Linked DNA regions of Astyanax mexicanus. The protein of the gene in region 4 interacts with the protein of the main gene of each other region in a pairwise test. Links are inferred from orthologs where the notes say so. Each region holds a gene or a part of one and is shown on either strand. Other genes may lie near its edges. The genes, in order: litaf, spg21, snx15 and reep6.

Region 1 (7,872 bases), on a different chromosome or scaffold from region 4:
GTTAAATACCTGTACAATTTCTTATTATTATCACAAAATTTAAATACATTTTCACAGCCAAAATGCATCAGTAGTGATATCTTTAAAAAACGCTGTTCAAATACCGTTACTTTCGTATACTGAGTACAGTGACTTTTATTTGAAAATAAACTGTAATTCCTCCAATTAAACTAGACTAATAATCTTTCTTTAATGAAATGTACAGCACTGGTATCTTTGATATCCTTTCATGGGTATATTGTCAATACAATAAATCACAAATATTGTCAATACAATAAATACAATCACCTGTATAATATTTAAAAAATTAGCTACTGCATCTACCTCATCTGTTTTCATTTGATACATATATATTGCTGCACTAAAAGGTAGTAATTCTCATTTGTGAAAGTTGGGTTTAATGTCACTTTGAAATAAAGTAAAAAAGTAAGCAATTATATAATTTTGTCATATTTTTCGAAGAATAACTAAACACATACTTAAATGTGGTATATCATGATATATATATATTATATATACAGCATATATAGTATTATGAACAATGATTCACACAGGCAAAAAGTTAAAAGCATCAACAAAATCAATTTCTATTATTTTCTATGATAATTTCACACTGTCCACTCTGAATGACTGTTCAGACATCAATCACTAAATTATGTAGAAATTTTAAGTTGATCAGTTGAATAAATCTCTAAAACCTAAACCCATACATCATCATAACCCTGACCTGTGATTAAATGAATTTTGTAAGATGCACATAAAAGTTACTTGATGGCATGTCAGTATTAGAATTACTCATCAAAACTCTGATTTCGGGTATTCTCACACTAGGTGGTCTGTCCTGTGTTTGAGCTTGTCTCCCCCAAAAAGTCTGGTTAGTTTAACTAGCGTAAACGCTCTGTAACAAAATTCTGTGCAATCTTGACAAGAAACGCAAAACCAAAAATGTACTTTGTGATGATGTAAGCATACTAAATCCTGGAGTGGGAGAAAAGGCAGGGATGATCATTAGGTTTAGGTACGGTACCAGTAAACCAGGCCTAGTGTGAGAACACCCTTTAAGATAATTACTGCTATTGACTATTATACAGTCATTACGCTTCCTGTGTAAAAAAAAAAAGCATGTCAGATGTGCATCTATTCTTCCCTTGTTTAAAGTGACTTAATAAATCCAGTAACAGACTGCAGTTATTCCTCCTTTTCAGTGCACACCAGAGCCAGCTCTGGCAGAAACATGAATTATTTTAAAATACTACAAACAGAAAATGTGTTTTTTTTTCTGCATTTTGGACAAATATGTGACCTTTAAACATTAAGGGAGTGATTTGAACAGATGAATAAAGGTCAGCTCTTCTATAAAAATGCAGGGAGCTCCTCAGTTTCACATTATAACAGGGTTCCACTGGACAAACACTAATAGGAAAATGTCCAAACAAGGGTGAGTTAGAAGCAGCTAGACAAATGCATGCACTGGTCATGTTTGGTGTGTGTGTGTGTGTGTACATGTGTGTGAGACAACCTGAAGCCACATCCGGTCTTAAAAGAGAAATGATCATGATCTTAAGTGCTGAAAGTCCTTGTTCTAAATACAAGGATCGACCGAATCGGACCCCTGTGGACCCTCACACAGAACATCTGCCCTGTAACAGGGGAATTAGCTGTGGCTCTCGGTACCGTTAGGGGTCAGCTTGGTCTTATGCTCGACCCGTGGGCCTCGGGCTGAGTACTGGACCATCAGAAACGGCTCCTTGGTCTCTCCCTCTCCGACGATGCTCTCCTCGTCCTCGGATTGGCCGATACGCTGCAGGCGAAGGTAGCACCAGCAGCCGAAGATCAGCGCCCCCAGAGCGGCGATGGCTATGAGGATCACGATGATGGTCACCACGCCGGTGGTGGGGCTGTGGTCCATTATAGACATGCTTGTTGTGGAGGAGAAGTCGTTCCTGGTGTTAATAAATCAATCTGGGAGGCTGGCCAGCGTGGTTTTGTTGGCCTACAGGTCTTTGGATATCTGATTCAGAAAGAAAAGAGAAACATGGAAAGGTTATAATGAGTATCAGCTTTTTCCTCAATACCAAGGGTCTTTTCACATAGTTTATTATTATTAATAGTTTATTATTCCAATATGTATTAATAAATATTATTTATTAGTAAAAAAAAAAAATTCTCATCTTATCAATAACTTTATTATTTCCCTTCTTCACCTGTCAGACCTCTTCTACTTTTCACTGCTAAAACTGAGACTTAGTCCAATCATGTTAAGCTAAAGAGCTAAAGGCTAAAGCTGTTTCCATGTGGGTCAGCCAGACGTCTTCCTGTAGCAGTTTTCTCCAGTTTCCAAGAGTCTTTTAAAGGTGTAAGAAACACTACTCATCGCTCTCTGGCTTTTACAATCTACTATATATATAAAATATATATTTACAGCGAATCAGTAATAGCCCTGACAATTTACGGTACAAGTTTGTACACTGAATTTTGTCCCATTTCCGGTTACTGACTAAACCTGGACCATTGTGAGCATGTGTGCAATACCAAACAATTCCTGAGATTTGTATACTTTTAATTTAACTTTAATTAGGTTCTAATTCAGAAATCCTTACAGCCAGGTTGAGATGATTACAGTAAAGTAAAAAAAAAAAAAGTTTACTCAATTTAATTTATCATGAATTCTCTATTCCAGCACCCTACGTTGGCTTTATCTCCATTCAAACATACAAATATATACTAGTATTTTTGTTGACACCACTAATATAAATATAATTACATTTTGCATTTCCAACATTCAGTCTTTTATTAACATTTAAATATCCACTATAAAAACTTGCATCTTAAAAACAACAAGTGTGATTAATCACAGTTAATCACAGAATACTGTTGTGATTAATCTGAAAACATTTTTTAATCGATTGACACCACTAATATATATATATAATATAGGGCTGCAACTAATGCTTATTTTGGTAGTCGACTTTACTGGCAATTATTTTTCCCATTAGTCGATTAGTCAACGAACATTTCTGCCATACCCTCCATCTCTGCTTGATGGCTGGGTATGGCTGCTGTTTCTAATTTTCTTCGTCTTCGTCTTAAATGTCTTTGCTTCAGCTAAACAAAGAATTTAAATGCCCTTCATATGTCCAGAACATTGCCCTTAAAATGTGGAAAGTGCTGATATTTAGTGAGGAAATGTGTACTCTGTTGCGTTTAGGCATGTTTAGTACTTTGTGTAGTGCTGCAAATTAACGATTAGGTCAAGGAACATTTGGTGTTGACAAATTTTTATAATCGACATTGTTGGTTATATCAACTAATCGTTGCAGCCCTAATAAAGAAGAGCTTAAAAAGAGCTCTTTGACCTGAAGAGCTTAAATAAATTAGGGGTAGTGTTGTAGTTTATGTTATATTTTTAGTTCTTATATAATAACTAAAAACAGTTTTTATGTGCCGAAATAGCAAAAACACTAACTAGCTGATATAAAGCCTGAGTTAGGCCAGAGTCAGAAATCAGAGTCAGACACACACACAGCTTCTGATCTGAGAAACAGGAACCTCCTTCTGCGCGGGATTCTCGTCAACTTTAACACCAAGAATCAGCGCAAGATTTAGAGCACACACTGCAGATTATCTGTATTACAAACATATTTAATTTATCCCTTCATAAACTCTCTATTTCTCACCATGATCCGCTGCAGCTCCGCCGCTTCATTCCCGTTACCGAGCGGATCAGTCCTCCGGACCGCCCCCCGCCATGTCCCCGGCCCTGATTAATCCAGTTTAATCCGGTTTAAAACACTAAATACAGTAAATATGGCGATAATAAAGACGAATCAGAGTTAAACCCGCTGCAGCAGCGACATCATAACACAATATATAACCCAGCAGAGCAGGAACGCTGGGAGACTGACTGTCACAGGGAAGGAAGTGAGATCACAGCTGCAAAACTGAGCTCAACCAATCAGAGCAGCGGAAACGGCAGCTGCATAGAAACGGGGCAAAGCTTTATTTACCACCAGCAGCCATCCAAATAATAAAAATAAAATACAATACATAAATAACATATACATAAGATAATACATAAGATAATAAAATGTAAAAAAAATTAATGTAAATGCTATTAAAGGGGATCGAAACCCCCTGATTTTTGCTGAGTGGGGTAGTTTGGGGGAGTCACTGGATGATGTATAGGTTTAGGGGCGGGGCATGAAGGAGAGCTGATTGGCTGAGCTGGGGGAAGAGAGATACAGAAAGAGAGAGAAAGATGGAGAGAGAGGGGAGAGAGAGAGAGAGAGAGAGAGAGAGAGAGAGAGAGAGAGAGAGATGGGGATGAAGAGGGAGAGGAAAAATCACAATGTAACCAGAAATCACCAGGTGATAAAAAATATGTTAAAGAGTAGAGCAGGGAGTTCAGGAGGAGCAAGAGCAGAAATGAGTAAGTAAAAGTCAGTGCTTTTTTTGCTAATTGTGTTGCTATTAAATAATGACTGGAATATAAAACTGTTATAAAATAACTAATCAAACATTAATGTTACAGTATTGTTAATGACTTAAAGATAAATACCAATACTTATAATAAATAATAAAATTGGTCGTACACTAGTTGTTTTGCTATTTGCTACAAACATGTGACAGACATATATTTTGGGCTAGTTTAAGTTTTTGAAGAGCGGGTTTAAGACTGACTTTGGGCTGGATTTTTTTTTTGAACCTGGCAACCCTGCACATCATCTACGCCTATAGCACAGTTAATCCATAGAGGGCGCTGCAGAGGCGGAAAATACCACAAAATGGGTTTTATTAAAGAGGCACTAAACCCCCTGATTTTTGCTGACTCCACCCTCAAAATAAGTCTAAACAATAAGAGGGGTAGTTTGGGAGGGGCACTTGATGATGTATGGGTTTGGAGGCGGGGCAGGAGGGAGAGCAGTGAAATGCAGATGGTTGAACATCAGCAGGTGGGTGGTATTATTGATTGTGTGATCTCCGTATTGTGATTTGTCTGCGTTCCAAAGTACACGGACACATCATCCTCGTCTATAGCACAGTTAAACCTAGAGAGCGCTGCAGAGGTGGAAATTTCCACACTAAAAGGGTTTTATAAAAGGGGCACTAGACACCCCTGATTTTTGCTGACTCCACCCTCAAAACAACTCAAATTTGAAAAAGTAAAAAAAATAGGAGTGGTAGTTTGTGAGGGGAAATGGGTGATGTATGGGTTAAGGATCATATTCTATGTCCTCTGAAAAATAATAACTTAGTTTCAATTTATGTAATAATGAGTAAAGTAGATGTTGTGGACTTTCATTTCTGTTACCCAAAACATAAAAATTAACAGAAGTGAGTTCCAGCAACATGAATGAGTGCCGGTAATAGGAGTGATTGTTTTGTCATAAATATCAATTATTTAAACATGCAGTCAACCATTTCTTTACAATAAAGACTTTCTCATAGAAAATCAAAGGAATTAGTGGACTTTTTTTTTTAATGTCACGTGAGTTTTGTAACAATCTTCGGCTTAGAAACCTTGTAAAAAGTTAAGTAAAGCTGCCTGAGTTTGACCAGTACATGTTTTGAATAGTTAAATATGTGTTATTAGATTCAGAGTTGAAAAAAGATAAAAAAAAAAAAGTTTTATTTGAAAGAGTTACAACAATCATGTGCCCTCAGTGCATTTATTAGAACTGTGTTTTATAAATGTATAATAATCACAACTCTAACAATCCTTACCCAATTTTTTACAAGGTTTGGTTTGTTACAAACAGCAGATGTAGCAATGATACAGGAAACTGTTATACATTACAAATAGATGCTTTCATACTAAAATATTTTGTAATATGCTGTTATGCTCTTTAACAAAAACAGACATATGGTATGGCATATAAATTGTGTATAAATTAGTTCATTTTATATTTATATGTACATACATACACATACATATACATATAAAATTAATTCATTTACACACTTGAAGTTTCACGTTCCACAGAGTTTATGTTAATAATTCACTTCTGATGTTGATCCGGGTCTTTTTCTGGTGTTTTGTTTACAGTGTGAGTGAAGGGCGGGAGCTCCTCCAGACTGAGCCCATGTGACTGAAGGCGGAACTGGAGAAACGCTGTGAAAACAGACGGAGATGAAAAACTAGAGAAATATACTTTAATTCCCTCATCTGAAGCTCTTCTACACAGCGTGAGTCTGAGACACTGCTGAGATCTTATACACTGTCTGATTACTGAGCTGATAGACGGGGGGATGAGGGGTAAAGGGGGGAGTTTGTTTTTGGGCTGAAGGCTGAAGTTGTGCTGAAAGAGGAAATATGGCGACTTTGTGATGAAACGTGTAAAAGTGGCTGAACACTTTCACTTTAATAGAGCATTTTATTCTAACTGCTATGGTTAAAATATGGTATATGTGAGATAGACTGTTAGTAAGTACAGGTGGGCAGTACCTATATGTGTATACACATATATATATATATATATATATATATATATATATATATATATATATATATATATATATATGTATACATATATACATATATATACATATATATATATATATATATATATATATATATATATATATATATATATATTGTCAATCGATTAAAAACATTATCAGATTAATCTGAACAATTCTCTGTGATTAATCACACTTGTTCTTCTTAAGACATGAGATATTTATATTAGTGGTGTCAGTTAAAATACTAGTATGTATTTGTATGTTTGAGGGGCGAAAAAAAAAAACAATTGGATGGAGGAAACTATTTTTTTTTCTTTATTGTTATCTATATGTCTGAACCCAGACCTGCTCCAGAGCATTACAATATATGTACAGGTGTATATATATTTGTATACATTTACAGGACACAAAAAATACATTACTCTTTTTTGAGATGCAGATAAAAGGCTTTAGCACTAATAGTACTACAGCAAAACAATTTGCTGAAATCCATTCTCCTATCAGAACTAAACATGGTATTTTAAAATAAAACATGTGAATGGGTGATATGCACAACATGTACACAGAAAAGCAGCAGACTGTTTATTATAGTAATAAAACTCCATCTTTACGATACATATCATGATAGTAAATGTCATATGGTGAATTTGTGATAAAACATGTGAATGTGGCTGAGCATTTGTACTGATCCTCACCCTGCTGCTGCTGCTGCTTCTTCTTTTCCTCCACAGCTCCAGGGATGGCCAGCGCTCCTCCTATGGAGATCATGGGTCCGACGGGACAGGCAGCTCCCTGCCCACCGACTTATGAAGAGTCTGTGAACGCAGGAACGCCGTTCCCCCCCGGGGCTCATATGCCCCCTCCGCCTGTCTACAGCAAGGCCCCCCAACCCCCCTACCCAGCCCAGGGCTACACCCAGATGTACTCACCTCCACCTCCTCCCACTGGACCTGGAGCTCCTGTGGGTGAGTAGGAGCATGGTGTTTCTCTAGAGTTTGGAGACTGAGCCTAATTCAATTAGGAGATACTATGTGTGTGTGTGTGTATGTGCTGCAGCATTACATCATTGCTACATCATAAATATAAATTATAAATGTTAGATGATCTACACTGTCACTAGGTTTGATGAAGAATATACTACTTGCATTACTTAAGTAAAAAAAAGGTTGAATACTTAATATTTAATTTAAATGAGAACTCTAGTGTAAAATGGACTTTTGTTGTAGTAAATCATGATGAAAAGTACTTACCTTTGATGAATAGCACACCTCCGTTCTCCCACAGCGTTCAGAGATACAGAAATTTGAACAGTTTGTCCAAACACCCTTCAGACTGGATGACACGTGGCATAATTTGCCCCGATAAATCGCTTTTTCCACAGTTATCCAGCTCAAAGTAGCTCCACACCTC
Region 2 (8,670 bases), about 9.3 Mb from region 4:
TCTGTGTAATGTTTAGTGAAGTTTTCTCAGAACTCACAGAGTCCCAGGGTGGTTGTACTTTATTTGTTTTATCCTATTTTTTTAGACATTGGAAACCCAATGTCTGCTCTTAATAATAAAAAGTTAGTTGTGATAGTATTATTATGCTAGTATATTAATACTGTGGCACACTGTCTTAAAGCTCCTTTGGGAGCCCAGAAGCAGGAAAAAAGCTTTTTCTATAGTGGCGCTTTACAATGACCATATTATCGTTTATCGCAATATTTTCCGGGATAATATATTGTCCTGAAAATGTTGTTATCGTGACAGGCTTAATACTGATCAACGTTCATATGCATTTTACGTACAACATTTTTATATGGCTGTCCTTTAGACTGCGACAAAATTAAAAGATCAAAAATATTTCTACAAAATGATTGGAATATTTTTTTCACCCACACTGACTTCCATTGAAAGTGAAGATTTTTCCATTACCTGTAAAGGTAGTCACTTCAGAGACTTTAGAATTTATTATGAGATAAGGATTTTTTTTTTTAATTAACAGCCATACAGTGCAGAAAAAGAGCCAAGAAATTAATTATATATATATATATATATATATATATATATATATATATATATATATATATATATATATATACTGTTAGTAATACTAAATAACTAAATATAGAAGAATAATAAGAATAATAAGAATAAGAATATTAACAATTACAAAATTGTAAGAGTGAGATATAGAGTTTGCTCACTGTTTTAGCACAATTTGGTCTGGTTAAAATGGACTCTGGTTTGTTTGTGCCCTTTGTGCAGTTTGATTGAGCAGGTGTAAAAACAGTAATCGCACTCGGGTGCAAATCAAAACACCTGCTAGTGGAGGTGGTCTCGGTTCGGTCCCAAACAAACTCTGGAGCGGTTCACTTGAGGTGAGAACGTGATCTGGTCTGTATCTGATCCAGCTATTAAATATACTATTTTTATTTGAGCTTTAACTGCTGATAAGGTGCAGTTTAATCTGTTATATTTGTCTGATAACAGTAATTACCACAGCTATTAAACTCTGCTACATGCTGTTTACATGCACAATTAATGTGATAACTTGGTCACCAAGTTACGTCGCGCGCACGTAACAACAACGTTATTTGGTTAGCTGGGTGTGCTGCAGTTCTGCACTCGCAGCTGCACGATTTCATTTACTAAGTGTACATCTGCGGTAGGGGTGGGCGATATGGCCCTAAAATAATACCACGATATTTCATGGTATTTTTGCAATAACAATACTCTTGGAGATATGACAAAACACTTTTAAATAAAATATTTCAAAAATACACTATACACTGCAAGGAAAATATATATATATATTACAGATATATTATAGATATACTGGAACTGGCACACAAAATCTTCTTGCTATATTTACTTTCTTGCTCCTGCACCAGACAGTCTGACCAATCAGAGGAGACAATGTGCTTGCGTGGTTTATAGGTGAGCATTTTGCTGAGTTTAGATTTATGCCTGTGTGAAACCAAACCAAACAGAGGGAGAAAATGCTCCAAGTAAACAAACTTATCAACTGATCAACTAGACTATAGTAACCAACTACAGGTGTGGAAATGCCCTAACATTGCATTAGGCTATGTTGAATGTGTTGCGGTGCACATATAACTGCATTTACACAAACATGTCAAAGGTCATGGGATAGCACTATGTAATTACATTCAAGTAATGTTATCTCAGGAGACAGCTTGAGAACACTTACAACTGTATAAATTGTGAGGTTTTATCTTGTGAGTAAGGCTGAACACTGGCCAGTGTGCTCACAGCAAGGCAATGTGAATTATCAGAGCTAGATTGCACCAAATAGACAACACATTCTAATTTGGAAGTTGTTTAGACACGTATTAATACTTTATCCAAAGAGTCACTTGTGTATGATCTAGAAAACCTGAACTTATTGTAAACAGCACAATAAGTGTGTGATCACATCCACATTTAAGGCACAATAGAAATGTCTTATAATTTTGGGCATGTCAGTGTAATTAGCTCTGTCCACTGTCAAAATGTTGAAATGGTATTGCTAAGGGAATAAAAGAACATGTTCATAAGAAAACTTAAATTTGCTAAACAACATAACATTTTATTTTACCCATGCTTGCCAACCTGTTGCACATCCAGACAAAGACAATTTTAATAATTTCTTATCCCATTAAGCATAGGGATTTATTAAAGAAATAAACACAGAACTACCTTTCCACCATCTCCATCCTTCATCCCATCCTTGGATGCATAGTACACACAGGTCTCTGAGAAAGATCTCACAGGGACTTTATGGGTCAAACGAATTTCATGAGATCCTGTTCGGCTAAGAGAAAACAGCTGTACTCTTGATCCATGTATTCCTAGACAAAACATAGAAAATAATTTTAGTGACTCTCACACACACAGTAATGTAGGATGACCATATGTACTTATTTTTAAGTATGAAAAATAATCTAAATTGCGTAAAATATCTGAGAGTTCTTGTTTGTTTTCTCTGCCACACCTGGTCTACATGAAGCTGCATCTACACACAATCAGGTTAAACTGCTTAACACAACATTCAACTGACCACAGCCTAAACAAACAAACTAAATATACACAAACACACTTTGCATTTGAAATAATTAATTTAATCAATCTCACACTTAGTTACAGGCCTAACTTAGGCCTAAGTGAAGCCCCTCCGCCACTTAATCCCAACCACGGTGAATGCAAGTGCATCTCAAAATTCCTTTTATTAAAAAAAAACAAACAAACAGGTAGCTCAAAATATGAGAAAAATTGTAGAGTTACAGTCAGTTCAGTTTAAAGCCTTTAAATAATACTTATTAAAGTCAAACTCACTGTTCAGTGTAGATGTTTTACTACTTCTTGATTTATCAATTCCTTTTTTATTTGATACACTGTTACCTTACATAAACAAACCATTCGCTTTATTCAACAGTACGCTCCTTGGATTAAATTAATTACTGTCTCAATTTAACGAAAGCACCCAACTCCAAACCAAGGGAAATATTGAAAGAAAAAATATTTAACCAAAGCAGAGGTTTATTATACTAAGGAAATGATTTATTGAACTGAAGAAATAACTTATTAAATTAAAGGAACAATTTATTTAAGTGAAGGAGTGATTTATTAAGCTAAGGGAACGATTTATTAAATTGAAGGAGTGATTTATTAAATAAAAAGACAACAATATTTTAAATTGAGGAAACAATTCACTAAAAATGAAAGAAACAAACTTATTAAAACGGAGAAAACGATTAATTAAACCTGGAAAACATTTTATTAAACTGAGGAAATAATTTATTAAACCGAGGAAACGATTCATTATTTTAGGGCAACAGTTCATTAGTCTGAGGAAACGATTCATTAAACCGAGGAAACAACTTATTAAACTCAGGGGAAAAAATAATTAAATTATTTAGCTAGCTAATAAACTAAGGGAGTTATAAGGGAATAAATAACTGAAGGGTTTATTAAACTAAGGAATAATTTAGCTATTAAACTGATTGTTTATATGATGTAATGGATTGTTAAATTAAGTGAACGACTTTAAAAAAATTACTAACTTACACTGTTAAACCGATTTAGATATGTCTGTAAGTTAAATAGTAGCAATTTGGTGTATCAACATTCATACTTCAGCTGCTCCGTTGTTTAGCCGGTAGCTAACGTTAGCTAGGTTGGTTAAATGTCTGTCAGGTAGGTTAGGTTAGCTAGCTTTGGCTAACCGGGTATTAACTCCCCTGTACTCTAAAAAACATGCCTTACAACTACAATACTCAACAGTTTATTAGAAGTACATATCCAGTGTTTAGAGAACTTTCCATGTTGACCAAAAAATAAGCTTATTTTTTATTTTATCTCCTAGCTAGTGTTAGCTAGCCCACAGTCCAGGTCTGTGCTAAGCTAACGCTAGAGCTAAAGTTTTAGCAGCATAATAAAGTGTGTCTCTTACCTTTATGAGCTGAGTTTATGAAGAGTCTCGCTGCTGAGGTGCAGGCACAAGACATGGTTTCCTGCCTTAGCTAACTTCTTCTAGTTCAGCTGGAGTAAATAGCAGCTCAGCAGTGAAATACCGGAATATAATAAACAGCAGATATTCTAACCTGCTCCCCAGCTGTATACCATCACCACCATTCAGTTAGCTGCTGAACTCGCTAAAGCTAGCGGACCTGAGCGTTGAACAACTAGTGCAGGTCCACTGCTGCCCTCCTTAGTCCGTTGGGGTGAAATGAAAATGTCAGGAGTTGAAGGAAAGAGAACGTCAGCCTGCTCTGAGGGACACCGACCCAGGTGACTGGAGGGGAGGTTTAGAGCTGCTGTGGGTTGTGGCCAGATGACGCCAGATTATTACAGTACAGGAGATTTTGAATAACCTGAAATACCCCCAGAAATACAGGCCAGCTATTAAAAACCTATGTTTTTTCACTAGTAATTACATCAGCTGTAACGTTATGTATTGTACAATAGAAAAAAAAAATATTGTACAATAGTCATCCCCGGAAGAATATTATAGCCATCAACATCATTGTAATGGTATTCTGTCTACATATGCTATGTTAGTATTCATTTACATGGAAGCTTATCTTCTCCTTATATTTTAAATAAATAAAAAAGTAGGCACACTAGACAAATGTAAACTTGCACCGATGTGGGATTTCTAGGCCGATGCCAAATTTCGATATTACACAGGTTTACAGCTTTAAAAAAAAAAGAGACCACTTCAGTTTTTGAATCAGTTTCTCTGATTTTGCTATTTATAGGTATATTATGTTTGAGTAAAATGAACATTATTGTTTTATTCTATAAACTACAGACAGGATTGAAGCACTCACCACGAGGCCTCAAACTCAAATGTTGTGGGATCCCAAACAGATAGATCCTGGATTTGACATTAAAGATAATATGGTTCCAGTCTGTATAAATATATATATATATATTTATACTGTAACAGCAGGAGGCATTTTGCAGCAATCCAGAACACAGCATTTGTGTATGTATTTATTTATTTATATAATTATTTGTTTGTTTGTTTACATATTTATTTATATATTTATGTATTTATTTTTGTCAATGACCGGATGATAATAAAAATATTATACGTATATAATTAAATGTAATAGTTAATTTATATTTATTAAAATACAAATTAAAATAGTCAATTATTTTATTTCCATTAACATAAAAAACGATTAGACTACATTTATTAAAGGAATACATTATGTTATTAGCATAAAAATAATTATTACATTTTATTTTTGATTTATTAAAATATAATTTAATGCTTAAAATATTCTCCGTCACCATAACGTGGTGGTCGTACTGGGCATGCGCAGAGCCGTGTGTAAGATGCGGAACTCGCTGTCATATGACTTCTCGGTTTGTTGCTAAAATGGTGCTGATCCGAGGCTGAAGTCTCCGTTAAAGGTAAAACACATCTAAACAAAGCACAGTACTGTTATATTAACAGCTCTGTGATATAATGCAGCCCTTTAAGATATTTTCGGGGCTTATTTCAATGTTAGAATATCGCTATTTTACTCCGTATTTTAGAGCACACGACCAGCTGAACTTGGCTTTCTAGTCGACTTTTCCATTCCACCTTAAATTGTGCTGCTGTTAATACTGCCGCCTGAACACCCTTTGGAACGCAGCTAATGCCCCTGTTTTAAGGTGGAACCGAAAGTTCTGGGTCTAACAGGAGAAATGTCTGTAATTCTGCGCCCAGACATGTTGTTAGTAAGTGATATCGTTTAGTATATGCAGTTACTATAATAGGAATTGTGACAAAAACATGAGTTATCTTAGCGAGTAAGCTAGGTTAGGTTAGTGTGTGTGACAAAGTGATCCATCATTAACAACGTGATTAGATAAAAGCTGTGTAAGCTGTTGTGTGTACAGTTTTTTTCTTTGATAGTTAAGTAGACAGGGGCTTTACTGTAGTTACCTTTTTTCCTAGATTTATTTAGATTTATTGTCACTATTTAATATAGATGTATGTTGTTTTGGGCACGAAAATAAAAAAATATCCACTTTTTTTGTGTAAGCAATTTAGGCATTAAACATGGTTGTTTTTTTCTGATATTTTTAAGGTGAATTGTGTATATTAGGTGTAAGAATCCTTTAAATAAATGTTTTATTAGAATTGAGAAGTAGAGTCCACATATTATCTATCATATTTAAAATGACTAGTGTCTGTGTTATTATTTCAGTGTCAATCTGCAATTTTAGAGTAAGTGTTGATAACAGGTGTTATATGGTTCAATATAACGTTATTTTACAGTTGCAGTGCCTGCACTGACATTAAGTGGTCCACAGCAGGCCATGTTGGATGTGTTCTGGTGTTGTTCTAACATTAATGCTGTAATTAAATTATTTGTTCACTTTTAACAAGGAATGTGATGTTGCACAAAGCAGCCCTTTCAGCCGCTACTGAGGAGCATTGTTTCTGTACAGAGTCCTGCGCAGAGTTCTGTACAGAGTTGTGTTAAGTCTCTCTTGTGTCTTAACCTGTAAATTGATTCTATTTTAGAAATGGAGGAGATAAGAGTGTCTCCTGACTACAACTGGTTTCGAAGCACAGTGCCCCTGAAAAGGGTAAGCTTATGCTTCTGTTATATGTTTTAGTACAACTAGGTCAGGTTGTATGGTCTGATTGTTATTGGATTTCATTTTAAAATTAGTGGTATTTTTTGTGTTTAATATCCCATGACCCTTTCTTTATGGCTTCTTAAGTCGCTCCATCTCTTCATGATTTGAACCATGTGATAGCCTTGTGATCCAGCACCTTTAGGAATGTGACTGAGGCCAGGCTGCTGTGCTTGTGACACCGTGCTGCGATTGCTGCTTTTCAGATCATAGTGGATGATGACGACAGTAAAGTTTGGTCACTGTACGACGCCGGGCCAAAGACCATCAGGTGCCCAATCATCTTCCTTCCTCCTGTGAGCGGTACAGCTGAGGTTTTCTTTCAGCAGATTTTGGCTCTCACCGGTTGGGGCTATCGGGTAATTTCGGTAAGTTTCTTAAAACTGACCATTGTTCAGAGTGTCTGTAGAGTTTTACAAATCAAAAGTTCTAGTGAAGATTAAGTTGTCTTAAAGGAGAGATTTATTTTTCAAAGATGACTATGAGTAAAATGGTTTCACTTCATGTTGAAACCTGTAAGTATCATCTGAAACTTTCCTTTTATCTATTCTTATCACAGCACCGGAAAATTAGTCCTACAGTGTTTTGTTGTACTGTAAAACCCTGTACTGGTATCATGACAAAGTTCAATTAAATTGAATAGATTTTTTTCTTTAAAAACTATTGCATAGCTGTTTTACATTAAAGCTCTTCTTTTAAGATAAGCATCAAAAAATGAAAGAGCAAATTACTCAAATATTTGACAATAAGTGTCAATGACAGTTGTCACTGTTAACAAGCATTTTCTTATATGGCAGACATAATCAGCACATTTTAAATATACACGTGCATTTAAAAAAAAATATAAAAGTTTCTTTATTTCTTTTATTGTTGATGATTTTGGCTTACAGCCTATAAAAACCCAAAAGTCAGTATTTCGAAAATAGAATATTATATAACAAAAACTGGTCCTTTTGGCAGTGTGGGCAGTGTGCTCCATAAAAGTTGTTAGCAGAGGCAAGCATGAAGTGCTGTAAGATTTTGTGGGAAAACACTGCACTGATTTTAGACTTGATAATAAAACACAGTGGATCAACACCAGCAGATCACATGTCTCTCCAAACCATCACTGATTGGTAGAAACTTCACACTAGACCTCAAGCAGTTTGGACTGTGTGTCTCTCCACTCTTCCTCCAGACTCTGATTCCTTGATTTACAAATGAAATGTAATATTTACTGATGATCAGTGATGGTTTGGAAAGACATGTCATCTGCTGGTGTTGATCCACTGTGTTCTATCAAGTCCAAAGTCAGTTTTCCCAGAAAATCTTACATCACTGACTTTGGACTTGATTTAACACAGTGGACCAACACCAGCAGATGACATGTCTCTCATAACCATATGAGACCAAATGAAACCATATGACCATAGCAGTTCCCATAAATGAGCTGCTTGCACGTCTTCACATTGCCTACAAGCAGGTCAGTTTTCTCTGCTGAGAAGCGCAGAAGCACTGCGCTGTTAAAATATCAATTTGCCAAAGACTGAGAGCACCTGCTTCTTAAAGGAAAAGGCAAGTGAAACCCTGGTTGGTTTATTTCACCTTACGCCCAAAACACACCCATGATTAATTAAGAGAATTGTGCGTATTCTTTTGCACCCTTACGATACCAAAGACACATTGTCAAGCCCTAAATCAAGCTGTACACTGCACATTTGAAAATAGACCCACACTGTGTTTTTCAACTGTCATTAAAACATTACTTTACATCCATTTTTTAGGCCCTGTGGGATTCTCCAGGCCATATTAGCAATTATATTCATCAACTAAACTAAGAAACAATTTAAAAATAGCCAATTTTTGTCTTTTAGAAGGACCTGTGTTCAAAGTAACAATAACAATGAGTTTGTTAGTATTGATAGCTTGCATATTACTGCCTGTCGAGGACCTGCATGTAATGGCATGTTGAGCAATCATTCCATTATACGTACAGATTTACAG
Region 3 (8,681 bases), on a different chromosome or scaffold from region 4:
ACACAGGATCACCATAGACAGTGTACACATCATATATGGACAGCAGACTGGAGCCTCTGCTTAATTTACTAAATGCACTAAAAGTAGCAGACTTTCCCTCCCTACACGCACCTTTTTATTGCACTTCTGTTCTTTGTTGTCGTCTCTTGAACTCTTTATTATCTGATATTTATTGCTTAATGTTGTACCGCTGTCCAGAGCTTGACGTCACTCTGAGAGGAGTGTTTACTACTTTTACTACTTTGCACAGTTTGATTTGTATGAAACCTACAAGTAGGTAGATCCTTCATTCTCTAAATACAGTGAGCTCAAACACATATACAACACCTTTCTTTAGTGCCTGGTTGATGAGCTTTTCCATTTCAATGGCCTGTTTATTTCCTGGTTCATTTCTGAGTAGGATGTGAATATACTTCAGAGCTCTTTCATATTCCTGAGAAAAGAATAGATAAGAACAGAACGAAGACAAATCAATCAGAAATTCAGTTATTACTAATTTAAACTTTGAATAACACTAATAAATGACAGAACCTTATTAATACAGTCTGTTCAACATGGTCCTTGACTGCAGTGCAATGATGAAAGACACATTTATAAAATAATTTACCTTCATTTAGAACAGAAAATAAGAACTGTTCTCGTCACCTTGAGTCTGTAGTTTGCAACAGCCAAATAGAACAGGAAGTCTCTCTGGTCTTCTTTTGAGCTTTTCTGCAACAGCTCTGCCACAGTGAACAGAACATAAGATGAAAATGCAGTGTATTGTCAAGTTCTTCTGAAGAATTCAACAAAATAATGTGTTCGCAGGATCTGTAAAACTATTCTAGCACAGGTTCTTGATGTTCTTCCAATGACCCTCTCACCTTCTAAAAGCTGAATGCCTTTTCTGATGTCGTTGGTGTATTTACTCCTGATCAAACACCACGCATACTCAAATTTGGTTTCTTTGGACACAGGTCCTTTCACCAGTTCAGCATTGTATTTTTGCTCAAACCTCTGTCAAAAAAAGAATATCAGAAAGAGGGAAGTTAAAACCATACCACCTGGTAGTGGGTGCCAGATGGATAGGACAATTCATTTCTGAAGTTGTGCTGGCATTTATCATTTCTTAATACAGTGTCATTAGCACCCACAGTAAACAGTGCAGTGGGTGGGTATGATTGTGTCTGGCATTGTCTGGCTGAAATTGGTTATGCAAACAAATATGCGACTCCAGCAGAAATCACATTTGCATTCAAACAAGAGACCCCCATACATATCCTTCAGGTCAGTGCAGCATTTTTTAGCTACCATGGGACATTGCAACATTCTTTGGACATAATTCTAGTTCCTGTCCAATGACATCTGGCATGTCACTCAAAATTTAATTTTTAACACATTAGCTTTACATTCTTAAAAACAAAAGTTTTTAAAATATATTTTTATAGGTATTGCAATAAAAGGTGTGAAGAAATGTGAAGAAACTTTAAATTGGCACATAATTTTAATACAACCTTTAGGTTCTTTAGGACTCAAAACACATACAAATCGATCACAAACTTGGTCCTTTAGGAAAGCAAAAGTGACTCTTCTATGGCATGGGTCAAAAAACATTTAAAGAATGTAGATTCATATGATGATTATATTGTGGATTATAAGCTTAAGATACAACAAAACTCTATGAGACATGGCCAATTTAGCACAATCTAAGGGCCAAAGGTTCTTGGCAGGTTCTTAATAACCGGATGTTTGTAGCTGGACTGGAATTACAGTGCCAGTTGTAACAGTTGAGGTGCTACTACTTTTTTTTCTTAGCTTATCTTATCTTATCAGGATGTCATGAAACTGAATCATAATAACATGTCATGTACAAATTGTTGCATTATTGGGCATAAATAGGGCAGCAACCATGCATGTTTTAAGCAGGTATCACTGTCCAGTTGCCAATGGCAACAGACTTAACTTGATTACTGTAAACTGATTCAAATTATCTCATTAAATGCTAAAAAATCAGCAAATTTTACTACACTCAAAATAGTTAATATGAATCATATGTCTGATATGTTGAGTTTTACATCCAACAGACATAGACCTAAATTACACATATTTATGGATCATACATATATTTGGAATTGCAGTGTGTACACTTGTACATAAACCCAGAACTGTTACACTGTCTACAAATAATGTATGATACTACACTATACTCAAACTAGAATCACGATCATGAAAAATCTTAAGTATAAAACCTATTCTGGTTTGTCTGACACAGAATAATGTGTACAGAATAATTCTTCATCTGTTCTTGTAGAGCTTTAATGTCTTCAATATTAAATTCACAATGCAGAAAATCATTAAAGAATAAAAAAACAAAGAATGAAAAGAGGTGTGTCCAAACCATTGAATGGCACTGTATCATAATACAATAAATGACTGCCTTAATGTCTAGCTTTAATCTGAAACACGTAATCAGAATAACCTTTTAAAAAGATGTTAACTTAGAAAGCTAGGATGTGTTTAAAAATCTTTATTTCCATTCTAGTAAATACAACTTTGTGGTGTTGTCTCCTAAACAGTGAGGAAATGTTTTAACCTACTTTATATGTCACAATTAAATTTGAATACAATACTTAATCTTATCAAGTCAATATTGTAAATATTAATGTGTATTATCTATGGGCCATTCCACTGAATGGGTGCTATTTCTGTCCCCAGGAAATTACATATATAAATGTGCACATTTTTTTATACATTATATTATTAAGCATCTTGTTGTGTACACTGACCTAATCGCAAAAGTAAAATATGTAATTAATAAAAAAATAATAATAAAAACTACTTTTAACACTGAAAAATTGCACTTGTTACCTGTCCCCACTCTCGAACAATAAACTTTACCATGAAATATAATTATTAAAATCCTTCACAGACGTATTTTTTGCATTGCTGTGTGACTCTAAATCCAATATATGCTTTTCATAATAAATTCATTATATTTAAGTTAAAATACACATTTTATTTGTGTCCCTAAGTTTTACTCAGTCCTGTTACCATAAAACATTTCCCCATCTGAAACATTCTACAAGTCACATCTACAACAGGAAGTTACATCAGTTGTTTTTCGAGAAGACCAATATTTGTTTTTCTGTATATTTGATCTTATTGTAACTATGACTGAGGAGGTCAATCTCAGCACTCATTTCTGTTACCTAAATAATTATTAGAAGTAATTTGTTTATTTCTTAAGTTTTGGGAAAATCACTAGAATTTGCTCAGTGTCCTTATGCTATTAGCACAGCCGCCATTTAGCTATTTTTCATGTCTTTCATGTCAAATTCTACGCTAAAAGATTAAGTAAAGCTGCCTGAGTTAGACCAGTACATGTTTTGAATAGTTAAACACATGTGTTAATAGATTAGAGAGTTGGGAAAAAATGTTTAATTTGGAAGAGTTAAGTTACAACAAGCAATTTGCACTGATTCGTTGCTATTGGTTTCATAGATTATTTATTATCAGGTTGGAAAAGAGCAGTAGTTTATGTATAAGGTCCTATGTAGCTACATATGGTATATTTTATTGTGTATAGCTACATTAGGTATGTTTTACCACTGTGAATGTTGGTGTGCCCACGATCTTCAATCACATTGACAACTTTTTGTGCTAATTGGATGTGACAATAAAAGTGAACTCTTTAGTATTTCTGATACAGGTTAGCTAAATTAAAGGCAAATTAAGCAGATCGATACAGAAGGGCCATCAACGTAAACGACGTAACGCTAAATAATCAACCAACAATGATGTAATGTCGATTACCAGTCCTGCCTGTCTAACTACCAGTGTCTCAGAATCTAGTTTACTCACTCTGTTCGCGGTCGAACAATCACAGAAAACATGTTTATGATATAAAGAGGCTACTCTCTAAGTCGCTACTTGTTTAATGTCTGTTAAATTCGTATTTACCTTCAAATCTTCCGGAGCTACGACGTCCGTCACCACCTCCTCCATGTTGCCGGAAACACTGAGCAAATCATAGGATAAAAGTCTGTGACGAAGCATGTGTGCCAAACTATTTTTTTTGCACTAAAACAAAAATACATAATAAAATAAGTAATAGATATTTAAATGTTCCATTTCAATGTGTTCTATTTTTTCTTCAATGCACAATTTGTTATCGAGTTCCAATATATGTATATTAAATTCTGTGCATTTCTTTTAAACAAATGCAATAATTATAATAATAATTTTATAATAATTATAATAATAATTATTATAATAATTTTTTTGTAAGCTCTCCAGCGATTTACAATGACACATTTTACCAAACTTGTATATTGTCTATTGTCTCTTCAGAATGTTTTCTTTTTCATTTAGTCTTACTTATTATTATATTAGTATATTTATTATTAGTAGTACTGTTATTGTTTACACTCTATGTGTTCAAGTGCAGTTGGATTGCTGGTCAGTTTATGCAATAAAAATAAAGGCATCATATATTACATATATTTCTTGTTGTTTTGGAATGAATGAACTTCATTTGGCATGTGACTTCTTGCTTTTCCTCCTTAAAGTGTGTTTAGTCTTTCAGTATTTGTATTTAAAATCTTGTATTTTAATTGTTTATTATTATATTTAAATGAAAATATTTTAAAATATATTTAATATGTATGAAATACAGTTTTTTTATAAACGCAATTTTTCTGAACCACATTTTTGCAACGTTTTATTTTTATGCATATGTACACAAATAATTAAATGCATAAATACAATTTTAAAAAGTCACATTTGTGTTTTTTTTACGTGTACGTTCAGGCATTTTTAGGCTGTGGTCAGTTTTAGTTGTGGTTCGTTTTTTTTTTTTACCAGTATTAGCAACAAATACAAACACATAAAATTGTAACATATTATTTAAATCGACTATAAAGCAAAAAAATAAGTGGGCGCAGGTTCACATTTATAAAAGTGAGGAAAAACGAAAAGCGCGCAGTTCATTGGCCGCTGGTGACGCTGCCTCATGAGGACGTCACTAAGCAGGAAGCAGCTGTCAAAAAGCCCAAACACTGGTTTCACGTTAGGAGCCGTAGGAGCAGATGGGGCTGTGTTGCTTGTAGAATATTAATGAATATAGCGTTTCCTAATGGCTCGAAAAACTAAGAAAGAAGAGTACTACCGTTTCTTCACCGTTACAGATCCACGCACACACGAGAAAGGCCACACGGAATATAAAGTAACGGCGAGGGTTAGTAGAAATCAGCTTAATCCTGATCTGGCAACCGTTCATTTCACTGTTAGCTCGGTTATAGTTACCCTTTAGAGGCTCTTTAATGCGATAACAACATGATAACAGTGCTTCTTTTCTTATTTTTCAGACAAAATAGATATAGTTTCAATATTTTAAAACGTTTGCAGGAGTTTCTACAAAAGTAGTCACATGTTTTAGCAGATTTAGCTATTTGACATATTCAGTTTGACTTCGAACAGTAGCTATAACTCTAACAGTAATCTTAGTTTCATGTGTGTATATGTGATGTCTAATGTCTGTTACACTGACTGATTATAAAGAAATACAGTGTGATGAGTGTAATGGTTAAGGTGCCCCTCTGTACCATGGTTTAATATTATTAATGGGCCATTGTTCGCAGTGTGATTCAATAAAACTCGTGACACAGTGCATGAGGGGAGACCCCCGTGATCTGGCTTTGTGCCCATTGGGTGGATTTTAAACTGCCAACCTCCTGCCACAATGGTTTAGATTGATATTAGATTAGATTTGCCTTGAAGTTGAAGGACTTTGCCTTCAGGGGAGAATTGTTTAGGACAGACAGATCAGTCTGTGCAAAATGTATTTAATTCTGTGTAGAGCTATATAATGCACATTAATTTAACAGAAAAACACACTTTAAATGCTATCATTCTACAGTGGTGCAATTAAGTAAAAAGACACATGCCTCCTAAATATCATTTAATAGAAGGTTAGAAATCATTTTAATATTATTTCTAATCCAGGGTAAATGTAAATAAGGTTATATATGATTATGGAGCATTTCTGCTGGCTCACTAATAATCAAATACTCATTCAATGTAAAGAGCTGTTACAATAATATAAAAAAACCTGACATATGTTTTATACAGCAATAAAGTTCTGTCATTTCCAATTATTTACTTCTGAAATAATGTTTTACTTCTGCTCTTCTTTCCTTTCTCACTTTTCTTCTGACAGTTTGTGTCAAAAAAGCGACCAGAGGATGTGAAAGAGGTGAGTTGTGATCCTGTCCAGTCACTTGGTTAATGTTGGGCAAGTACAGCTCTGGAAAAAATAATAGACCTCTTAAAATGATGAGTTTCTTTGATTTTACCAAATTGGAAACTTCAGAAACCAAGCTGAACTGCTAGAATTTTTTGCACCAGGAGTGGCACAAAGTTATCCAAGTACAGTGTGTAAGACTGGTGGAGAAGAACATGCCAAGATACATGAGCTGTGATTAAAAAACAGGGTTGTTCCACCAAATATTGATTTTGGAACTTTATAATTATGAACTTGTTTTCTTTGCATTATTTGAGGTCTGAAAGCTTTGCTTCTTTTTGTTATTTCAGCCATTTCTGATTTTCTGCAAATAAATGCTCTCAATGACAATATTTTTAGTTGGAATTTGGGAGAAATGTTGCCCATAGTTTATGCAATGATGATTGAGATAAGACATTTCTCTACTAATTTGCTTATACAATTTACATATTTCTCTTGAAAACGATGAACTTATGTTAAGGCTGTTTTTAAACAAAATAAATGAATGCAGTCCAGTGAAATGAACAGGATGAATAGAATTGTATTATTCCTAAAGTGGTAAGATAAAAACGACAGACACAGCAGAAAAAGAAATATATCTGAATTGAAATTACTGACAGTGGTCAGAGTGAGAGTTAGAGTGGTGTTCTGTTTTGATTATCAGGTAGTGATATGGAGACGGTACTCAGAGATGAAAAAGCTGCATGGAGAGCTGGCATATACACACAGAAATCTATTCAGAAGACAAGAAGAGTTCCCCCCTTTCCCTCGTGCACAGCTGTTTGGTAAGACCAATTTACAATGGTTCTGCAGCAGAATCATTGCTGTACTGATATATTAAAACCATATAATTCCTTTGTAAACCTTGTAGGATTGCCTTTATATGAGTGCTAACATTAGTGCTAACATTAGAATGTGGACTCAAAACATTACTCTGTTTAATGATTTAGATTTTTTGTTTAATGATTGATTTTTGTAAAAAAAAAAAAGGGTGAATAGAAATACATAAATATATAAAAATAATATTTTTCCACCAAAGAATTTTAACATTAAGTGAAACACTCTTTTTATAAGCAAAGTAGAAATACTGTTAAGTTAAAATATTTATGTTTTCAACAAACAAACTCTCTTTTTGTCTCTTCTGCTTTCTCTTTCTCAGGTCGGTTTGATGAGTCAGTGATTGAGGAGAGGAGAAAGGCAGCTGAAGCCATGTTGCTTTTTACGACAAATATCCCGGCACTGTACAACAGCCCACAGCTCAAAGAATTCTTCAGGGTCAGACCTGCATGTTTATACACCTTTGTGCTCATACACACACGTTTGACTCACTGTGAGTCAGCAACTTTAACATATTATCAGAATGTCTCAGAATTTACTGTCTCTCTTTTACTCTTTTAAAATGATTTATTTATAGTATATTATCAGGGGTCCACAAGTACACAAGCACGGTATCTGCCTTAAAATGTATGCTCACATTGCTCATGTGAAGATCTGTTTCAGCACAAAGCGTCTTAGTGAGTTGTTTTGCCACCAGATTAACACCAGCATACCTTAACACAGATTCTACATATATGTCTTTAGAAGTGTAATGGTGGGTTGGAATAGAAATACCATTCTTTCAAAAGATATTCCTTCATTGTTTCTTAGTGTTTAAACTGGAGAATGTTGTTTAGTGTTGCCTGCAATCTGATTTGAGATCTGGTGACTCAGATTTTGCTACTTGTTATCTGGATCTGAAATCAAGGAAAGCTGGCTCTGCTTAACATATTATACATACCACTGAGCATGATAGAGACTGCTTAATTGAATCATTCAGTAAACATGTCGATAAGCATCTGTACAGGTTATGCTTCTACTCTGATTTACACAGGGGCTTCCTGTAATTTCGAATTTATCTGTATTTATCAATTAAATTAATTGAAACTGAAACTTTAGCATAGCATGATAGCAGTCAGTAAGTTGCCAATAGTCTAGTTAACCAGTAGCAAATGGGGGTGAATGCTAACATATGTATGTGGGGAATTTTTTTTTAATAATTTTCATCATTCCTGAAAGTCAGACAGCAAAAGACTGGTTTGAAAATGTATTTGCTGGTGTTTAATGATGAAGACCATTTTAATGTCTTAGGTTATCTTTGTTATCATTATAATTGTTAGGGATTCTAGGTTATAATGATTCTTTATGCATTAAAAAGTATTTTGCACATCAAAACAACGTGCGAACATGGTGAGGCTTTACTGACCTTTTGAGTAGGAATCCTTACTTATGGGGGTGTTTCAGTTAAAAGTTCCTATTTTGAAATTGTATTTAAGCAATATAACCAAATCATACACACAAAATATCATACAAACCTGCTCACCAGTAATAGCTATGTCTTTATGTTAATTCTTTATTTCTCTCGTTCTTTTCAGGGAGGAGAAGT
Region 4 (8,067 bases):
ACATGCAAATAAGAGCAAACTAAGAGTCTTGGAAATACTGGTGTCATAAAGATTGGTTGGATAATTGTAATTGAATATTTAATCACAGAACAATAAAGCATGCAAGTTTATACTATACAATAAGTGGCATTCAGAGAAAATGTGAAGAATCTCCCACCTCCAGACACAGCAGACTGACGCTCATTCCTCCCACCAGCAGAAGGTTCTGCTTCCCCCACAGTACAATCTTCTCCAGGCAGCCTTTGGTGTAGATCCGCTCACTGGGTGAAGACTCATCCCTCTGAGTCTCATAGCCACACATGGAATTAAACACAGTCTGAAAACACACACAGTTACTAATCCACAGGAGGAAGTATTTCTACAAAGCATTTCACGTAACCTGTAACCTTTTAAAGGAGAACCCAAGCAGCACAAAACCATCTGAATGCTCGAAATAAAAACATTTAAAAGGGGATCCAATTTTGCTACAATTTAAAGAACCCTATATGGTACCCTTTTTTTTTCATTTTTATCCCATTTGCTCCGAAATGTACAAGGCCAATTACCTTCCCCTATCATTAGTGATGCCCCAAAACCAGGAGGGTGGAGACTAGCACATGCCTCCTCCGACACATGTGAAGTCAGCCACCACCTCTTTTCCAACTTCTGCTGATGCAGCATTGCAGAGTAGCATCACAGCGCACTCGGAGGAAAGAACAGCGACTCGGTTCCGATACATCAGCTCACAGACGCCTCGTGCTGATCAACATCACCCTTTGGAGTGATGTGTGAAGAAAGTGCCATCTACCCACCCAGAGAGAGCAAAGCCGATCATGCTCTCTCAGGGCTCCGGCAGCTGAAGGCAAGCTCATTATATGATGTTTGTGTTGAGTCTGACCTCGTTGGGTTGTCGTACGCAGCAGGAGAAAGGCACACCGCAGGCTTCCAGACTGGGGTTTTTCTCAGAGCAATTAAAATAGACGTTCTGAGACCAGTCTGTGTAATCATCCACTCCACAGCATAGGAACTGCAGCAGAACAAAGACATGATTCACCAGAAAAAAATCAGAAGAATAAAGAGAAATTCAGTGAATTTACAACATTTATACATTTAAAAGACCGACCAAGTGTTTCCATGAATAAAGTCTTATTAAGACATAAATAATATTATAGAAATAATTATAATATCTATTAAACCTTTTTCTGCACAAAGTCAATCACATTTTCTAAGTCCAGGTCCTCTCGGTACAGAACAATGGCTTTCTTCATGAGCTGTTCAGTCCTGTGTAAAACCTAAGAGATGAACAGAGACATGATAAGTATTGGGTCATTATGCAAGAACTGGTATTTTTTTGCCTCCAGACTCCCCTACAGTCAGGAAGTTAAATTTACACTTTGAGCCCCCACTAAATAGTACATTTTACATATGCATTTCTGGTCAAGCTGAGAGACGCTAAACTGTCCCTGAAGTCAAGGAAAACAAAAATCGTGAGTATTTAATACAGTACTAAGGTTCTACACCAGTTTTTTTCTGTATGTCTAAGCCAAGAACCACAGATAAGCTATTCGTTTTAAAGTAAGTATTAAATAATTTAAGCAATAGTTTCCAAAAAGGAGATTAATATCTACCATGTCTGAAAAGAGAAAGCCCAGGACAGCAGCAGCAATTTGCAGCAGCAGAATAACCAGTAAAATTCCTAAAAACTGGAAGAACAGACATGAAAAGTTACAAATACTCATAACCCAATGAAGTGAATAAACAGATTATCATATACATTTTAGATATGAGTAAACAGGAGGCAGATAAATGGACAATGGGTGTAAGAATCTAAGCCACTTCGATAACTGCCAAACTGTAGGGTCAGACCATCAATAACCAGGTTGTGCCTCTCAAAAATTTGGATTTGGCACGTTTCCACAGCCATGAAAAAATCAGATCTAAGCCACATTAAGCAAAAAAACAGATTTGAGTCTTAGATTAGATTTTTTCACACAGCCATGAAAAAAATCCCATCTGAGCCATATTGACCAAAAAATAGAAATGAGTCACATCAGCCTGGTAATGTGAATGTAGCTATTGTGATTTAAATCTGATTAGAGTCGGAATTTGGCACTTTCACACAGCCATGAAAAAAAAAACAGATTTGAGTCACTTTAGCAAGGTAATTTGAATGTAGACAAAGTGACTCAAACCTGATTTGAAAAAAACTGATTTGAAAAAATCAGATTTTGCGCATTCACACAGTCATGAAAAAAAAAATACCAGATTTGAGCCATAATGGGTCAGGTCATCGGATCATGCGGGGTGTTTCCAGTATGCAGTTGTTAAAAAAGGAGCATTTGAAAGAGATCTGAAAGAGAACTGGTGACAGAAACATTGTCACACAGGTCTTACTGATGTCATCCATGGACGTCTCACATCACAACCTTCAGAGTTTACAGGATCTGAAGATTGGTGTGTATTCCTTATGTAATGTAAAAATCTGATCTCCAGTTATAGGAAATTATAGCGTTTGATTGCAGTTCCAGCTGCTAAAGGTGGCACAACCAGTTCTTATGTTTATTAGGGTGTGTTGTTATTCCTTGACAGGTGCTTTTGCTAGGAGATAATTAATGTCATTCACTATAACTGTCAGTAGTGATAAAGTTATGGCTGATCAGTGTACATATAACAATGCATACATATTACATACAACATACAAAGTACTATATTAGGTGACTGTTTATAACAAGCAACTTCAACTTCATAGTTGTATAAGAGATGAATTACCATTTTCAGCAGTATGGAAGCATCCCGCAGAGCTCCAAAACAGCCCAGGAATGTTATAATGAACATGAGCGAGCCCACAGTGAGCAGCAGAAGAGCGGGGTCCGTGGTCAGTGTGTCCACCACATCTGCAAAATCACAACAGTGCTGAACATGAACAAGAGCAACAACACAGACAGCATGAGAGACACAGCTAGAGGTTTTAATGAAAAAACAAACTCAGTACCTTTTTCTTTGGCAAGTTTAGCATATATGCCAACAGCAAACAGCACTCCACTGGCCACCTAAAAGAAAAAAAGAATCATTTTGCTTGTTTTAAATACAAAACAATCAATACATCAGTACAATAAGTCATGCTGCATTCTTTTCCCTATTAAATAGTATTTTAGACCATATTTCATAGACTCTGTGAAGACACTTACCCAGAATATGTAACAGCAGAAAAATAAAGTGTACTTAATGCCCTTGTAAGTTCTCATTACGGACGTTTTCTTCCATTTATGTTAAAAAAGAAAGGAATCTCGGCATAGTCTGACACAGTCTCCTCAGTTCCTCATTGCTGTGTGAAAGACAAGCAGCAACTTGCATTCAAAATACCTGTCTGACGTTAGTGTCGTAGATGTTACCTGAGGGGTCCTTCATTAATTACTCATGTTTTCCCACAAACAGAGGAAAGAAACACAATAGTCATAATTATTATAATAAAAAAAAAAATGAGTTTATTTTATTTTACCAAATTGAAAACCTCTGGGTAAGCAGTGTGTAAGACTGGTGGAGGAGAACATGTCAAGATGCATTAAAACAGGGATATTCCACCAAATATTGATTTCTTAACTCTTTATGAAAATGAACTTGTTTTCTTTGCATTATTTGAGATCTGAAAGCTCTGCATCTTTTTTGCTATTTCAGCCATTTCTCATTTTCTGCAAATAAATACCCTAAATGACACTATATTTATTTAGAATTTGGGAGAAATATTGTCTGTAGTTTATAAAATAAAACAACAATGTTCATTTTACTTAAACATATACCCATTAATAGCAAAATCAGAGAAACTGATTCAGAACTGAAGTGATCTCAATTTTTTTTCCAGAGCTGTATATATACAGTGGGGAAAATAATAATTTTTGTAAGTTCACCCCTTTACAAAGACATGAACAGTCTATAATTATTCTATAATTTTAATGGTCTGTTTAATTTAAGAGCGAGAGAGACACTATATTAACTAAAAATCCAGAAAAAAAACATTCAGTAAAGATTGTACATTGATTTGTATTTGAAATAAGTTTTGGATTCCCCACTGTATGTTTTATCAACAAAACAAAACTTTACATTGTATAATTTTCTGTTTTTGTATAATCTTTTATTTATTTATTTATTTTTACTTTCAAATTTTTCTTTAAAAATATTTTATTTTGTCATCAAATATTAGTTACGTTTCATGTTGTTTTCTCTATTGTTTTCTTTATTACTGAAAATAAAGTTTAATAATTGATTGGTATAAAACCATATCCATGGAAAATCATTAAATTTTTATTGATTTCCATGACAATGCACCCATTGCTGATTATTAGCTTGTAGAATGATGCATTATCATTAGAACAGGAAACTCTGGAGCAGCCGCAAAAAAGGCCATGCCTAGTATTTATCATCAGGAATAGGGCTGTACATCCCGCAGCATTAAACAGTGGAGCAGTGAAACTACTTCCAGTTCCTCTGGGATGATTACAGGCGGTCATTACAGAGAGGAATTAATTGGTTAACAGTCTTGATCCTTCCTGATAATTATATTGAACCTGTAACTGTGTGGACATTACACTTACCTACAACTGGCTATTCAAAAAAAAAAACTTGCTGTTTTATTCTGTAATCTGAGGCGTCTATGTATACAGGTCTATGAGTGCTACTGTTACCTCCTCAGATTAGTGTTTATTATGGTCTGGGCTCTGGATCCTCGTCATGGCTCTGAGGGAGTGACGCTCAGGCGCACTGCTCTGTGATTGGTCGCTGCTCTGCCAGTTCCGCGCGGCTGCAGCCTGACCCCGCCCCCTCCCCCCGTTCATAAAGCCGATTGGGGGATGAATTGAGCTCTGGCATGTCAGCGAAACTGCAGAGCGCTCACCTGCTTCACTACTGATGTCCGCGTTCATATTTACTGCTTTTAATCCTTTAAAATAACCTTTATTAACTCTGTTCACAATGCTGTCTATTTTCACTAAGATAAAAACGCGCGTGGAGGCTTTTCTCAACGAGAAGAACATCGTCACGGACTGTTTGAACAAAATCGAGGAAAAGACTGGAATTAAAAAGCGCTACCTGGCCATAGGTAAGCTGGGCTCATTCTGGTTTTAAACTGGAAAGTTAAACTGGTCCTAAATTACCCGCTATGACCCGCTGTGTTCGGTAAAGTGAGGTGAGGAATGAGAGGCATAAGCTGAGAGGAAACACAGCAGACAGCACAGAGCTCGCGACTCTAATCCTCTGAGCAGCAGCAGGTGGAACAGCACTAATCAGGATGTTACCGGCCTTCTGCGTGTCTTTATTTATGCCTTCTGCCCCAGTGACTCAGTCTGTTTAACAGATCTCCTGCACGATAAGACCATTCATAAAGACACACAGACACGCTGCTAGTTCACAAACTGTCAAACAGCTTATTAAATTCTGAAAATATATTCATCTATTACCAGTGAACACACTGGTGGAAACAATTCCAGTAAGTTACCTAAGTAAGGGTCCCCTTTGTACAATATTACTCCTCTCTAAATGAGTTAAACTATGTACTAAAATATCAGCTAAAAAAACTGCTCTTAAAAAGGTATTTGTAAAAGATATGTTTTTTTTTAAACTGATTTGGAAAAAAAAGATTCAGACTATATTTGAGAATGGGTTTGAACAACTTTAAAAAGAAAAAAATAGATTTTAATCTTTTTTAAAAATGGTTTTAAACTACTTTTTAAGAGAAAATGAGAATGTATTTGAACAACTTAAAAAAAAGATTTGAATCTTTTTAAGAATGGGATTGAACTATTAAAAAAAAAAATCTTTTTGAGAATGGGTTTGAACTATTTTTTTAAAGATTTTTGGGAATGGGTTTGGACTACTTCTTTAAAAAATGTAAACGATGATCTTTTTGAAAACTGATTATTTTTAAAAGATTCATATAGTTTAAAAAATATCCCAAAAAAAAAAAGATTTGAATCTTTTTGAGAATGGGTTTAAACTACTTAAAAAATACATTTTTTTTTTTGAGAATGGGTTAAAACTATTTTTTTAAAATATTGGAATTGTTTTAAGAATAGGATAAAACTACTTTTGAAAAATATTGGATTCTTTTTTAAAAAGGGGAGTTTAAACAAGTAACACTGTACTCTAAGTCTTATAGAAACTAAAAATGCTTCATTTCACATTTATAAATCTGACTTCACATTATACTCTTCCTCTCATCTTTACAGGAGCTGTTTCTGTTACTGGACTGTATCTGTTGTTTGGGTATGGAGCCTCCCTGCTCTGCAACTTGATTGGTTTTGTTTATCCTGCATATTTCTCGTAAGTGTATTTAACTCTTATTATAATACTTGTTCTGAATAATTTCCTACATTTAAGAAACGTATTACTGCATAGTTATATTGTGTATTAAATCTTTATTATAGAATAAAGGCTATTGAGAGTCCCAATAAGGAAGACGATACACAGTGGCTCACGTACTGGGTGGTGTATGGATTCTTTGGTGTGGGTGAATTCTTCTCTGACATCTTTCTCTACTGGTTTCCTTTTTACTATGTATTCAAGGTATGTCTTTTTGCCACTTAGAGGACAGTGACCATCACATGCAAACCCTTTAATACCTACAATAATCACATAACACATTTTATCCCTCCAACTAATCATGCATCTTGTCTTTTGGTGTTTCTAGTGCCTGTTCTTGTTGTGGTGCATGGCCCCCTTCTCCTGGAATGGCTCTCAGGTGCTGTATAATCACTTAGTACGGCCATTTTTCCTCAAGCATGAGGCGACTGTGGACAACATGGTCAGCGACCTTAGTGGGAAGGCCATGAACGCTGCAGAGTCTGTCACAAGAGAGGGTAGGTGAACATATGATAGTTAATTTGATAAAAAATGAACAGTAAACTTTAATAATTATTTTTGTGAAGAATTGCATTCCCTTAAAGCTTCTCTTTCTAATATACCATAGATTATGTTATGAATCCTATCGCAGATTCTTAAATCTTGGTCAGTAAGAGCGTTTATATGAAAAAATCCACTCATAATCGGATTAATGCGGTTAATGGAGAGATGTAAACAGCACAATCTGATTTCTTACATTGAAGAAAGGTCTAAAAATCTGGTCAGGAACTCAGATAAAGAGCTGGATTATAGCTCAGTATTTTTCGCACTATAAGGCACACTATCCATGTATGTCTATTTTCATACATAAAGCACACCAGATTATAAGGTGCATTATGTAATACTAGTAAAGAAACAGGAGTGTCGCCATGTTTTCCTTCTAATTCAGCAGGTGGTGGGTGGTGGTGGGGGATAACTAAGTTAAGTAAAGCTAAGCTAAGTAAACAAACTGTAAACTGTAATAAAAAAAAGTCAAATATGTGCTGGATGATAATCTACACAGATTTCTTTCCTGAAAACTGTTTATTTGGATGAGTAAAGCGTTTTCTGTTTACAGTAAGCTTAGATTTCCAGATTTCCATGAAGTCTATGGTTAGCGCTAGTAAATACTGCCTGACAGCGCTACACTGAGGAACTCTGAGTGTTCCCGTAAGGCAGGGTGATATTAGCTAGTGGTTTGTCCAATGTAGCTTGTTTGTTTACACAGTAAACATGCAGATTTCAGTCCAGTGCTCAACTCTGAATGGCAAAAGAGCTAGCGCTTAGCGTGGTTAGCAGCTAATGCTAATCCAGCAGTGCTAGCTTGGGTTAGCAGCAGGCTACAGTCTGATATACTCACCCCTGAACAACAAAAGCTCTAGCGTGGTTAAAGGCTAATGCTAATTCTGCTTTAGCAGTTCTTGCTGGGGATAGCAGCAGGCTACAGGCTGAAAATACTCACCTCTGAACCGTGAAAGAATGCATAGCGTGGTTAGCAGCTAATGCTAATACTACTCCAGCCCCGGTGCTGAAACTGAAACTCCTGTTTAACGATTTTTGGGAAAATTAAAAGTTTTTATGTGTGTCTTATAGTGCAAAAAATACAGTAATTCTTACTCTGTGCTTGATTTAATTAGTCAGTAAGTGTTCTTGGATTTCTCAATGAGCACATGTGGGAAAATAGGCTGTGGCAGTGTAAATAAATAAGCAGAGTTTAAC

What was found.
Region 1: the proteins of reep6 (region 4) and litaf interact in binary tests that used the Homo sapiens proteins (3 or more experiments, as listed by UniProt). The two-hybrid records come from large-scale screens. The link is inferred for Astyanax mexicanus from reciprocal best matches to the Homo sapiens genes REEP6 and LITAF.
Region 2: the proteins of reep6 (region 4) and spg21 interact in binary tests that used the Homo sapiens proteins (3 or more experiments, as listed by UniProt). The two-hybrid records come from large-scale screens. The link is inferred for Astyanax mexicanus from reciprocal best matches to the Homo sapiens genes REEP6 and SPG21.
Region 3: the proteins of reep6 (region 4) and snx15 interact in binary tests that used the Homo sapiens proteins (3 or more experiments, as listed by UniProt). The two-hybrid records come from large-scale screens. The link is inferred for Astyanax mexicanus from reciprocal best matches to the Homo sapiens genes REEP6 and SNX15.

What each region holds. Positions count from the first base shown.
Region 1 is NC_064410.1:58,136,939-58,144,810, forward strand, and holds the start of litaf (lipopolysaccharide-induced tumor necrosis factor-alpha factor homolog), read left to right. Parts: upstream 1-4,306; 5' UTR 4,307-4,429; intron 4,430-6,046; 5' UTR 6,047-6,186; intron 6,187-7,193; 5' UTR 7,194-7,201; coding exon 7,202-7,427; intron 7,428-7,872. Other genes in the region: snn (stannin), read right to left, coding at 1,655-1,918.
Region 2 is NC_064423.1:9,406,388-9,415,057, forward strand, and holds the start of spg21 (maspardin), read left to right. Parts: upstream 1-5,382; 5' UTR 5,383-5,466; intron 5,467-6,571; 5' UTR 6,572-6,573; coding exon 6,574-6,636; intron 6,637-6,893; coding exon 6,894-7,055; intron 7,056-8,670. Other genes in the region: clpxa (caseinolytic mitochondrial matrix peptidase chaperone subunit Xa), read right to left, coding at 2,242-2,393, 3,995-4,049. UniProt on the Homo sapiens protein: May play a role as a negative regulatory factor in CD4-dependent T-cell activation.
Region 3 is NC_064415.1:23,823,630-23,832,310, reverse strand, and holds the start of snx15 (sorting nexin-15), read left to right. Parts: upstream 1-5,008; 5' UTR 5,009-5,113; coding exon 5,114-5,215; intron 5,216-6,196; coding exon 6,197-6,232; intron 6,233-6,923; coding exon 6,924-7,044; intron 7,045-7,418; coding exon 7,419-7,534; intron 7,535-8,670; coding exon 8,671-8,681. Other genes in the region: fis1 (mitochondrial fission 1 protein), read right to left, coding at 328-433, 646-722, 864-996, 3,940-3,984. UniProt on the Homo sapiens protein: May be involved in several stages of intracellular trafficking. Overexpression of SNX15 disrupts the normal trafficking of proteins from the plasma membrane to recycling endosomes or the TGN.
Region 4 is NC_064423.1:18,732,536-18,740,602, forward strand, and holds the start of reep6 (receptor expression-enhancing protein 6), read left to right. Parts: upstream 1-4,817; 5' UTR 4,818-4,944; coding exon 4,945-5,071; intron 5,072-6,197; coding exon 6,198-6,291; intron 6,292-6,395; coding exon 6,396-6,534; intron 6,535-6,658; coding exon 6,659-6,827; intron 6,828-8,067. Other genes in the region: zgc:113223 (tetraspanin-33), read right to left, coding at 158-316, 878-1,006, 1,176-1,271, 1,608-1,682, 2,749-2,873, 2,972-3,029, 3,168-3,224. UniProt on the Homo sapiens protein: Required for correct function and survival of retinal photoreceptors. Required for retinal development.